Oryza sativa Japonica Group: one gene and its partner. The protein of the gene in region 1 binds, or shares a complex with, the protein of each later gene. Links are inferred from orthologs where the notes say so. Each region holds a gene or a part of one and is shown in the gene's direction. Other genes may lie near its edges. The genes, in order: peroxisome biogenesis protein 22 and protein PEROXIN-4.

Region 1 (4,383 bases):
CGGCGACATGCTCGCCGGCGCGTCGGCCGCCGCCGCCGCCAAGGCGGGGAGAATGGCGGCCGTCTCGCCGTCCAAGCTGCTGGAACGCGCGGCGGTGAACGGCGCCGCGCAGCACGACGACTGGAGGAGCCTGGGTACGGCGGCGGCGGCGGAGGCGGCGAACGGCGTGCGGCGGCACAGGTCGTCGTCGTCGTCGCGGTATTCCTTCGATTGCTAGTATAGCCAGCGTTGCCAAAGAGCGCGTTCTGTGTGTATATATCAGGTTATCAACGAGAGTTTTTGAGGCTGTAAAAAAATTAAAGACGGATTAATTACCTGCCAAAGTGCCAATTAGCAAATGTTTGCCATACACGAACATTACTCGTTGCCTGTTCAGCAATTCAGCAATGAAAATGAAAATCTGGAACAATCGTCGAGTCGTTGTAGAGTTGGTTGTTTGATGGAATTTCTTTTCATGCATTAAACAACCTAATACCGGATATAACATATTCTAATATTATGAATCATGTTGATTTTTTTAGAACACGGAGAAAATATACATGAACACACCACCATCTTGTGTAAAACGGAAAAAGAAACTGTTTTTTTCCGTTCTTTTTCCGTGTGTCAATGTGTCGTAAAAACACCATCTAATAACCTCGCAGAGAAAAAAACCACAGTACTTCAATAGTTTGTACAGAAAACATGATGGATCAGGCTAAGTTTGTTGAAATCAAGGTCTCAAAGGGAAAAAATAAAGAGGAAATCATGTAAAGCTCATACCGAGGAGTACAAAATTAGACCAACCATAGAAGAAAACCAACTCATCAAATGGCCAGTTTAGTTCCCCGCCAAAAAAAAATTTTACACATGTCACATCGAATGTTTGGACACATGCATAGAGTATTAAATATAAATAAAAAAACAACTAATTACACAGATTGCGTGTAAAATGCGAGACGAAACTTTTAAGACTAATTGCGCCATGATTTGACAATGTGATGCTACAATAAACATTTTCTAATGATGGATTAATTAGGCTTAATAAATTCGTCTTGCGGTTTATATACGGATTCTTTAATTTATTTTGTTATTAGATTACGTTTAATACTTTAAATGTGTATCCGTATATCCGATGTGACACGTTCAAATTTTACGCGTAACTAACACACCCAAAGTCATAGTTCGAGCAGTTGGTTGGTTCAACCATGAAGACTGTGACTGGGAGTAAAACAAAAAAAAAACTGAAAGACCTATTACCAAAAATAAAGACACTCTTCAAGGACCTAACTGCAAAATAACCGTCTCCTACCACGCCGCAAGCAAAAACAACGAGCTTCCCTCTCCTCCGCCCTCATTCCCTCCGACATGTCGCAGCCCGCCCCCTCGTAGAAGAGACGGCACAATTTACACTTCGCCCCCTCCAAATCTTCTCCTCCTCCTCCTCCTCCTCCTCGCCGTCGCCGCCGCGAGCGGGCGCGCTAGGGTTTCGGGCCGCCGCGGCGTCCTCCTCCTCCTCCTCCTCTTGTTCTGGTGGTCAGCGGGGGCGCGCGTCCGATGTCGTCGGGGGCAGCGGCGTCGGCGGCGGGGGTGGAGGCGGGGGCGGCGGGGGGCGGGAAGGACGACGAGCTGGCTGATCTGGTGCGGCGCCTAGTGGACGCCCTCGCCCGCTACTCCGATCGCCTCCCGTTCGACCTCGATCGCCAGGTTTGCCGCTCGGATCTGTGATCCCCCCCGTGTCGCGCGTGTGTTTTGCGGTGTTTTGATAATCTCTAGGTTTTCCTCGCTGTTTAGGGATTTGTGGTGGTCCGTGGTGTAAAGGTGGCGCGCCTTGCTTGATTGTTTGTGGGGAAGGCTAGTCTTTTTTGTTTGGAACTATATTTTATACTGTGGCCATTCTACTATTGTTTAGTTGTTATTACATACATATGAGTTCGAAGCATCGATTTGGTAATTCGTTCTTAGCAGCTGTACAAGCTAGAAGCTGTAGTAAATTTTTAGGCGTGGATTCGCAGTTCGCTAATGATATGTCTCCCTTTTGGGAAATGTGGTCGTATTTGGGTCATTGTGATAGTTGAGATTTTGATGTATCCTTTAGGTTAGTAATAGGCTAATAGTGCTGCGAGAAATAGTTACTATGTAGAAGTGTTGGTTGGCCAGAAAGATGCAAACTTTTATGATGGCTTGCTTTATGTGATATCATCGAATGATCTACTTACCTCTATAGTCAGTTAATGAATCACTAAATAATTCGTTAATGGCATGTTGTCGTTTTGTAAGTTCTCTTGACTGTAGTGTTTTACAACGCTATTTCCAAGAACTCGGTAGTAATACAACGTGCAGATCCTAGGCTAGTAATGGATGCAAGCACAGGCATACACATGCGAACATGACATGTGCATGCACGGCGAGGTAAACCGATTTCTATGCTCAGAAATCTGCGCTACAACGTCATTAAAACGACTTTAGGTATCAAATCACGTGAAAGCACTTAAAAGTGCCGTAGCGCTCGAAAATCGACCTTCTGGGCCCTATGTTGCAACTTGCAACAGCATGAGCATTCATATTATTCCACAAAAGATTGTACTTGGTGTCAATTTTTAATCCCTTGTATCAGTCGTTGTTGTGGTTTGGATGAGTGAATTGGTGCCATTTTTTGTGATTTCTCACACACAAAGTCCGTTTTATTAATTCTTGCTACAAGAATTATTGAATTACTTCAATCTTCTATTTTAGAAACTTCGCTCATTTACTACACTTGCCGCAATTACAATCACACTTATCTTTGCCTGGAAACTGTTGAGAGCTCCTCAAGAGCAACCTCGGAGGCCACGTAGACGCGTTGCTCCATCACCTAGCAACACCAGCAGTAGATCACGGCCAGGTGCTTTGACCTCAACGGATGCTTGTTCATCTTCAGCAGATTCAAGAGCACAGGAAGCAATCAACCAGCTTTTCCAGCCAGTAAACGTATTGCCTGTTTCCTTTTCTGAATACTGAAATGATGTATCTGCTTTTAGGATCCTTGGACTGATAGTTTGCTTATATTCTTCTCCAGCTGACTCTTGAGCAGCTTGTTAGGCATAAACTGAGCGAAGGACGAAGGGTATTTTGCAAGCAACTGCTTTCACACCTTTTTTTTTCACGAAATTTAAAGTTTTGTTATACCAATGCATGTTTCTTTCCCATGTGTGAATTATAATGTTTAGGTTACATGCCGGTTACTTGGTGTGATTTTGGAGGAAACAACTCCAGAGGAGCTCCAGGTGAGCAAAAGCGCTGCTGCAAAAAAAATTTCCTGTTTTTTGTTAACGAATTTAATTTAGCGGAATTATACTTTTTTTTCAGAACCATGTCACAGTGAGACCTTCTGTCCTGGAGGTTCTTCTAGAAATTGCAAAATTCTGTGATGTCTATCTGATGGAGCGCATTCTTGACGATGAAAGCGGAGTAAGTAATAAGGACCATGCATTTTTTCTGTTGCATTTATGTTTTACGCTTTACAAGTATGCTCAAGACTTGATATGTCAATATATACTGATATCGGCATATGCACGCGGAATAAACAGTAATCAATTTACCATTGATATCGGAATAATACGATGAATGAACAACTACCTGGTCTGCTATTTTATTTCATTATGTTCAGGGGTTCTTTTTTTTTTTAAAAAAAGAAAAGCAGAAGAGTATTTTTGGAATCATCACTATAGACACACTGCCTAGTACGGAATTTGAATGAGCTATTATAGCTTGACATCAGCACAACTGAATAATGTTGCAGGAAAAGGTGTTATCTGCCCTGAGTGAAGCTGGACTTTTTACGAACAGTGGATTGATAAAGGACAAGGTAAGCCGCATGATGAGGTCACTTCAGAAATATAACTGCTTAATCGTTTTTTTTTTCATTTGGGTATAGCCATTGGATGTTCGCAATGGACCTTATGTAACATTTCTTCAAATGGCAGGTTCTCTTCTGTAGTACAGAAAATGGCCGCACCTCTTTTGTGCGGCAACTGGAACCTGATTGGCACATTGATACTAGTCCAGAAATTGTTCATCAGCTAGCTGTAAGTCACAATTTTAACAATCAAGTATCATACTTATAGAAGCAGGTTTTGAGTTGCTATGCTCCCTTGCAGAGGTTTATCAAATATCAACTACATATTTCTCCACAACGAGCAGAAAGAGTAGCATCCAATGTTTTCAGCTCTACAAGCTTGGAACAATTCTTTGGAGGCCTTGATCAGAGATGATAATATGAGGTAGAGCAGGAGAGAATTTATTATTTGACATGTGCATCGGCGTGTTTCTCATGAAATTGATAGCAGCACCTGTATATCATCACCAAATTTGACATAAAACCTGTATGCTCAACCGACCGGAAGACATGACGGACTGAATATA
Region 2 (4,560 bases), on another chromosome or scaffold:
AAAAGAGGAATTCAGCATTAAGAGTGATGTTAGACTTACAGATGTTTCATCGACTAAAATAGAAGGCAATTTCTTCTCAGTGGCGATAACTACACCATTAGCAGCTGCAAACATAACAAATATACCTCAGAATCAATAAACTAGGCTAAAAGGGAACTGAAGAGAATCAACAGACTGTAGTCTCTGAGCAGTAACTACACAAAAACATATGATAGAACAATCTGGTAAAAACATATGCAGTATGTTCTACACCACAAATTTATTACATACAACAATTACATCTATCAGCGTGAAGAACGCATGTCAAATAGTTTCTTTCAATTTTTCATACACCAAAACAAAATTCATGGGCTAAAACCCCAAGACTTTAAATTGCATAAATACTGACAAGTGGCAACAAAAGCTGATTTTAAGGGTATGTAAACCTACCAGTAAGGTGGACGTTGACAGGGCAAACAAATTAGAATTTTGCACTGATACTAAAATGGGCTTCCAAACCCTAATAGGCACTAGATCAGACTGCACACACATACAACTACTAATGGGAAAACTAGGTCAGCATATACATTCAACGCCGTAAATTGGCATAGAAAACTTCATCATCACAGATGAAACCAAGCAGCTTGTATTTCTTATGTGGTTATAAAGGGGAGCACTTGCCATTGCTGTTACAAGACATACATTTATGTAGATTAATAATGATTTTCCATGGAATCCACAAGCATTTGTAAGCGAAAACGAAGCAAACATTACAAAATTCCCAAGTATCACTAAAGCAGAATAGCAGATGCAAGTAACATGGCACCTATTAGTAACCTAAGCCGTAGCAAACTTCACACTCCAGGTCTCCAGAACAAATAAAAGCTCTGCAACGACCTAAAGTTATGCGAAAAGTGCAAAATCCCCAACAAGCGCCACTTCGTCATGTGAACCGAACCAGCCAAAATCTCAAACCTCCCCTCCCCTTCTCGATTCTCATAACGCAATAGAAGTATAGAGAAGGGATTGCTTCACGGGACGCACCTTTGATCCCGAGGGACGTCTGGCCGGATCCGACCGCGGTGAGCGCGTGCTCGATCTGCACCAGCTTCCCCGACGGGCTGCAAACGAAATCGCCACAAAAACCACAGATGACGAAACCGAAACCGCACCAGATCACGCCCGATCTCCGGGCGAGGGAGGCGCAAGGCAGCACATACCTGAAGGTGGTGAGGGAGAAGGAGTACTGGCTGTCTCCCATGGCCGCCGACGCGCAGGCCTACCTGTGAGCTGCTGCTCTTCGTGTCTCGCGGCGGAAGAGGAGGCGACCGAGCGAGCGATTGCGGCGAGACGGCGTGGGAAGGGAGAGGGAGGCAGAGCACAACTCGCCAAGGAAGAAGAGGAGAGAGAGAAAGAGACTGGATGGATGGATTGCTCCGCAAGAAGGTGGTGGGTCTTGGGCCGGAAATCTGGCCCATCTGTTATTGGGTCAGCCCATGACTCACCCACCTCCCCGTCACGTCGTCTTCCTCCTCATAACTTCTTCCCCACGGGCCAACGGCTGCGCGTCTTCCCGTTCGTCCTCCTGTCCGGTCCGAGTCCCTCTGACGACGCGACTTTCCCCACGCCGGGATCGAGCTCCGGGGAGGGGAGCTGCGAGCTGGTACGTACGCTTGATTTCTTCCCTTGCCACCGCGATATTCCGATGTATCCGTGATGTGTCGTTCATGGGTAGATCGGCTAGGGATTTGGCGGCGTTGAGGAAAGCGATGGCTGCCGGGTGGGGGGAATTGTTGTATTAGACTCTCGAAGCTGATATCTGGTGTGGATTTGCGGTGGAAGCCATGGTCGGAGGCCCAGTGCCTTCCGGGAGTTGTTGGGTTATCGGGAGCCCGGAGGGCAGTGCGGCTCGCCGACTGCTGCCATGATCCCCGTCGGCAAAATCTCCAGATTGGGGGAGATGGGGGGTAGGAACCATTTGGATTAGTAGTGTATACACGGGGTTTCGTTTATTATATTTAGAGCGCTCTACATGTAGACAGCACACAGCAGCTTTAACGTATGGATGGTGTATCGCAGGGAATGTATCTCGAAGACATTGGATTAGGCTATTATTACATTTAGAGAACCAGATTGGGTTTGCGATAACTAGAAATTGAGTCTGTTATGAATTTATTGATGGAGCGGACAGGGAATTACGATTACTATCTGTTTAGCTTTTCAGTTGTGAATGATGATTATTTCAATTTAGCTAATCAAGGTTCCTCAATCAAACCGTTCTAACTTTTTCTATTTATGCTCTTGGTTACATTTTGACAGAAACACTTTGTCATATCAGTCAACAGTAGAGAGGAGACCAGATGCAGGTCAGTTCTAATTCATCTTTGGTTGCACATTTCTTGTATAGTTAGTTAGGTATGTAATGTGATGGCCAACTCTTAATCAACTAATTATTCGGGTTATGTTTTACTGGTCTCACTGAGACGTCCATGCTAAGGTGGTAACATTTAATAGGACAATCCACATTTGGCAGCAATAACTGTACTCATCTTTTCCTTTAGTAAACGGTTTGGCGCCTAGTATAGGGCTCGCGTGTTTGCATGGAAGAGTTGGCACTCGGTAGTTGGAGAGCTTTGCCGACGGTTACCAATGTGACCAGTACTGGTTTTTGTACACCCATACTTTCTTGTCGTCATACACTAGCAAAAGTTTGTGTACATCCCTTACTTTTACTAATGGCTCAATTATATAACTTGATTTACTTCACTACAATAAAACTTATAAATGTTTGGAAGATCATGTCCAAGAGACTTTCAGTATTATTGTTAACTGGAATGAGCTTAACTACTACTCCCTCCGTTTCACAATATAAGTCATTCTAGCATTTCCCACATTTATATTGATGTTAATGAATCTAGGCATATCTATCTATCTAGATTCATTAACATTAATATGAATGTGGGAAATGCTAGAATGACTTACATTGTGAAACGGAGGAAGTATGTGAATTGCTCCTTTAGTTTGGTTCCTAACATGCTATCTGAATGTCTTCAAAATATTTTCTATCGAAAGGCATCTAGAGCTAGGCTCTTTAAGGAGTATAAGGAGGTGCAGCGAGAAAAGTCAGCTGATCCAGATATCCAGTTAATCTGCGATGATTCAAACATATTCAAGTGGACTGCTCTTATCAAGGTGGTTTTTATATTGCAACTTGCAAGGTGATGCTAGAAACAGCAATATAAGTTTTTAACTAATGCCTTTTCTGATTGTATATGTTGTTAGGGCCCTTCGGAGACACCTTTTGAAGGTGGTGTATTTCAACTTGCATTCTCTATTCCTGAGCAATACCCTCTCCTTCCTCCGCAAGTTCGCTTCTTGACCAAAATTTTCCACCCGAATGTGCATTTCAAGGTTACTTCTGCATTGCCTTCTCTGCGTACATTTTACTTTAGGAAATTTGACCTATTTGAAGGCATTTGTCTCTTTCAAGTGTTGGTGAGAATGTAAATATGAAGTTGCTGTCATCTTCTTCATTTTATCAGGTTTTCCTGTAACAATCTGAATGTACTAACATGACAGAATTTACTGTGTAGACTCAACTGTGCTCTTCCTGTTATTGTTTTTGTCAAGTCGCTTCTATATTGTTACATCTGAATTAACAGAATTGAAGGAGTAATTTCAGTTATCATTCTTTTTACCTTGTTTGTGTTTCCAGACAGGTGAGATTTGCCTGGATATCTTGAAGAATGCGTGGAGCCCAGCATGGACACTACAATCCGTTTGTAGAGCCATAATTGCATTGATGGCCCATCCTGAACCAGACAGTCCACTTAACTGTGACTCAGGTAGCTCCACCTTCCTACTAATTCTGCCACATATAGTTCAGCCATTATTTTGTAATGTGAAAGTAATAGATGTTCATGCTCTCACTGAATCAAGCTATGGTGCATGAAGATTTCCATCTTCGAGGCCTCAACCACTCCATGATGTGATCTTTTTGGAGTAGTTTGAGACATGAAAATATTTGGTTCTAATTATTGTCACATGGTACATTAGCCAGTTAAAAAATATGGAGAAAAACTTGGCTATTTACTCTAATGGAGCCCCTCTATATAACCAAAGGAATTACGTGATAATTGATATGGTCAGACTCCAGTATCACCGTTGTCCTAGGCGAGGGCCAATGAGTCCCAGGACGAGGCTGAGTCCACCTCGGGTGGCGGGTGTGCTTGGGATGCTGATTAGATTAGTTCGTTACATTGAAATAGTATATCTTTCCAATTGTTATCTCTTCCCAGTTAGAGTCCAACTTGTAAGGGCCATTAAAAGGTGTTTGCTACATCATCGCGAGTTTCAAGTTCCTTGTCCTCATTCTTTTTATGCCTCATAGTTCCATGCCGCCTACTCTCCTGGGAAGCCTCATCATCCACATGTCCTAATCTTCCGCACACAACAGAAGAAACTGATTTATGTAGTTACAATATTTAATTTTGAGGCGGTCAGAGAAACCATTCCTGCTGATCCATTTTACGCAATATGGATTGAATAATTGCCTTGTAAATATTTCATTGTTGGTTATTA

The links.
Region 2: the proteins of peroxisome biogenesis protein 22 (region 1) and protein PEROXIN-4 are in contact, whole or in part, in a crystal structure (PDB 6XOD), measured with the Arabidopsis thaliana proteins. The link is inferred for Oryza sativa Japonica Group from reciprocal best matches to the Arabidopsis thaliana genes PEX22 and PEX4. Residues at the interface, in NP_566696.2 of Arabidopsis thaliana: Tyr182, Val187, Leu188, Asp189, Asp190, Glu193, Asp214, Lys215, Leu217, Phe218, Cys219, Ser220, Thr221, Gly224, Ser227, Phe228, Arg230, Gln231, Leu232, Glu233; in NP_001031939.1 of Arabidopsis thaliana: Phe78, Phe84, Lys85, Asn125, Asp127, Asn130, Leu131, Gly135, Asp136, Val137, Arg138, Gly139, Ser142, Met143, Met146, Tyr147, Arg149, Leu150.

What each region holds. Positions count from the first base shown.
Region 1 is NC_089038.1:32,505,721-32,510,103, forward strand, and holds the start of peroxisome biogenesis protein 22, read left to right. Parts: upstream 1-1,335; 5' UTR 1,336-1,536; coding exon 1,537-1,686; intron 1,687-2,715; coding exon 2,716-2,949; intron 2,950-3,037; coding exon 3,038-3,085; intron 3,086-3,188; coding exon 3,189-3,245; intron 3,246-3,327; coding exon 3,328-3,429; intron 3,430-3,760; coding exon 3,761-3,826; intron 3,827-3,944; coding exon 3,945-4,046; intron 4,047-4,118; coding exon 4,119-4,232; 3' UTR 4,233-4,241; intron 4,242-4,383. Other genes in the region: cyclin-P1-1, read left to right, coding at 1-217. UniProt on the Arabidopsis thaliana protein: May be tethered PEX4 to the peroxisome membrane and may be involved in a late step of the matrix protein import. Does not play a role in the biogenesis of the peroxisomal membrane.
Region 2 is NC_089036.1:25,937,402-25,941,961, reverse strand, and holds the start of protein PEROXIN-4, read left to right. Parts: upstream 1-1,544; 5' UTR 1,545-1,642; intron 1,643-2,298; 5' UTR 2,299-2,339; coding exon 2,340-2,345; intron 2,346-3,051; coding exon 3,052-3,171; intron 3,172-3,261; coding exon 3,262-3,390; intron 3,391-3,694; coding exon 3,695-3,824; intron 3,825-4,560. Other genes in the region: proteasome subunit alpha type-2, read right to left, coding at 40-104, 1,024-1,100, 1,200-1,240. UniProt on the Arabidopsis thaliana protein: Required for peroxisome biogenesis. Necessary for the developmental elimination of obsolete peroxisome matrix proteins. May be involved in the ubiquitination of PEX5, targeting it for recycling.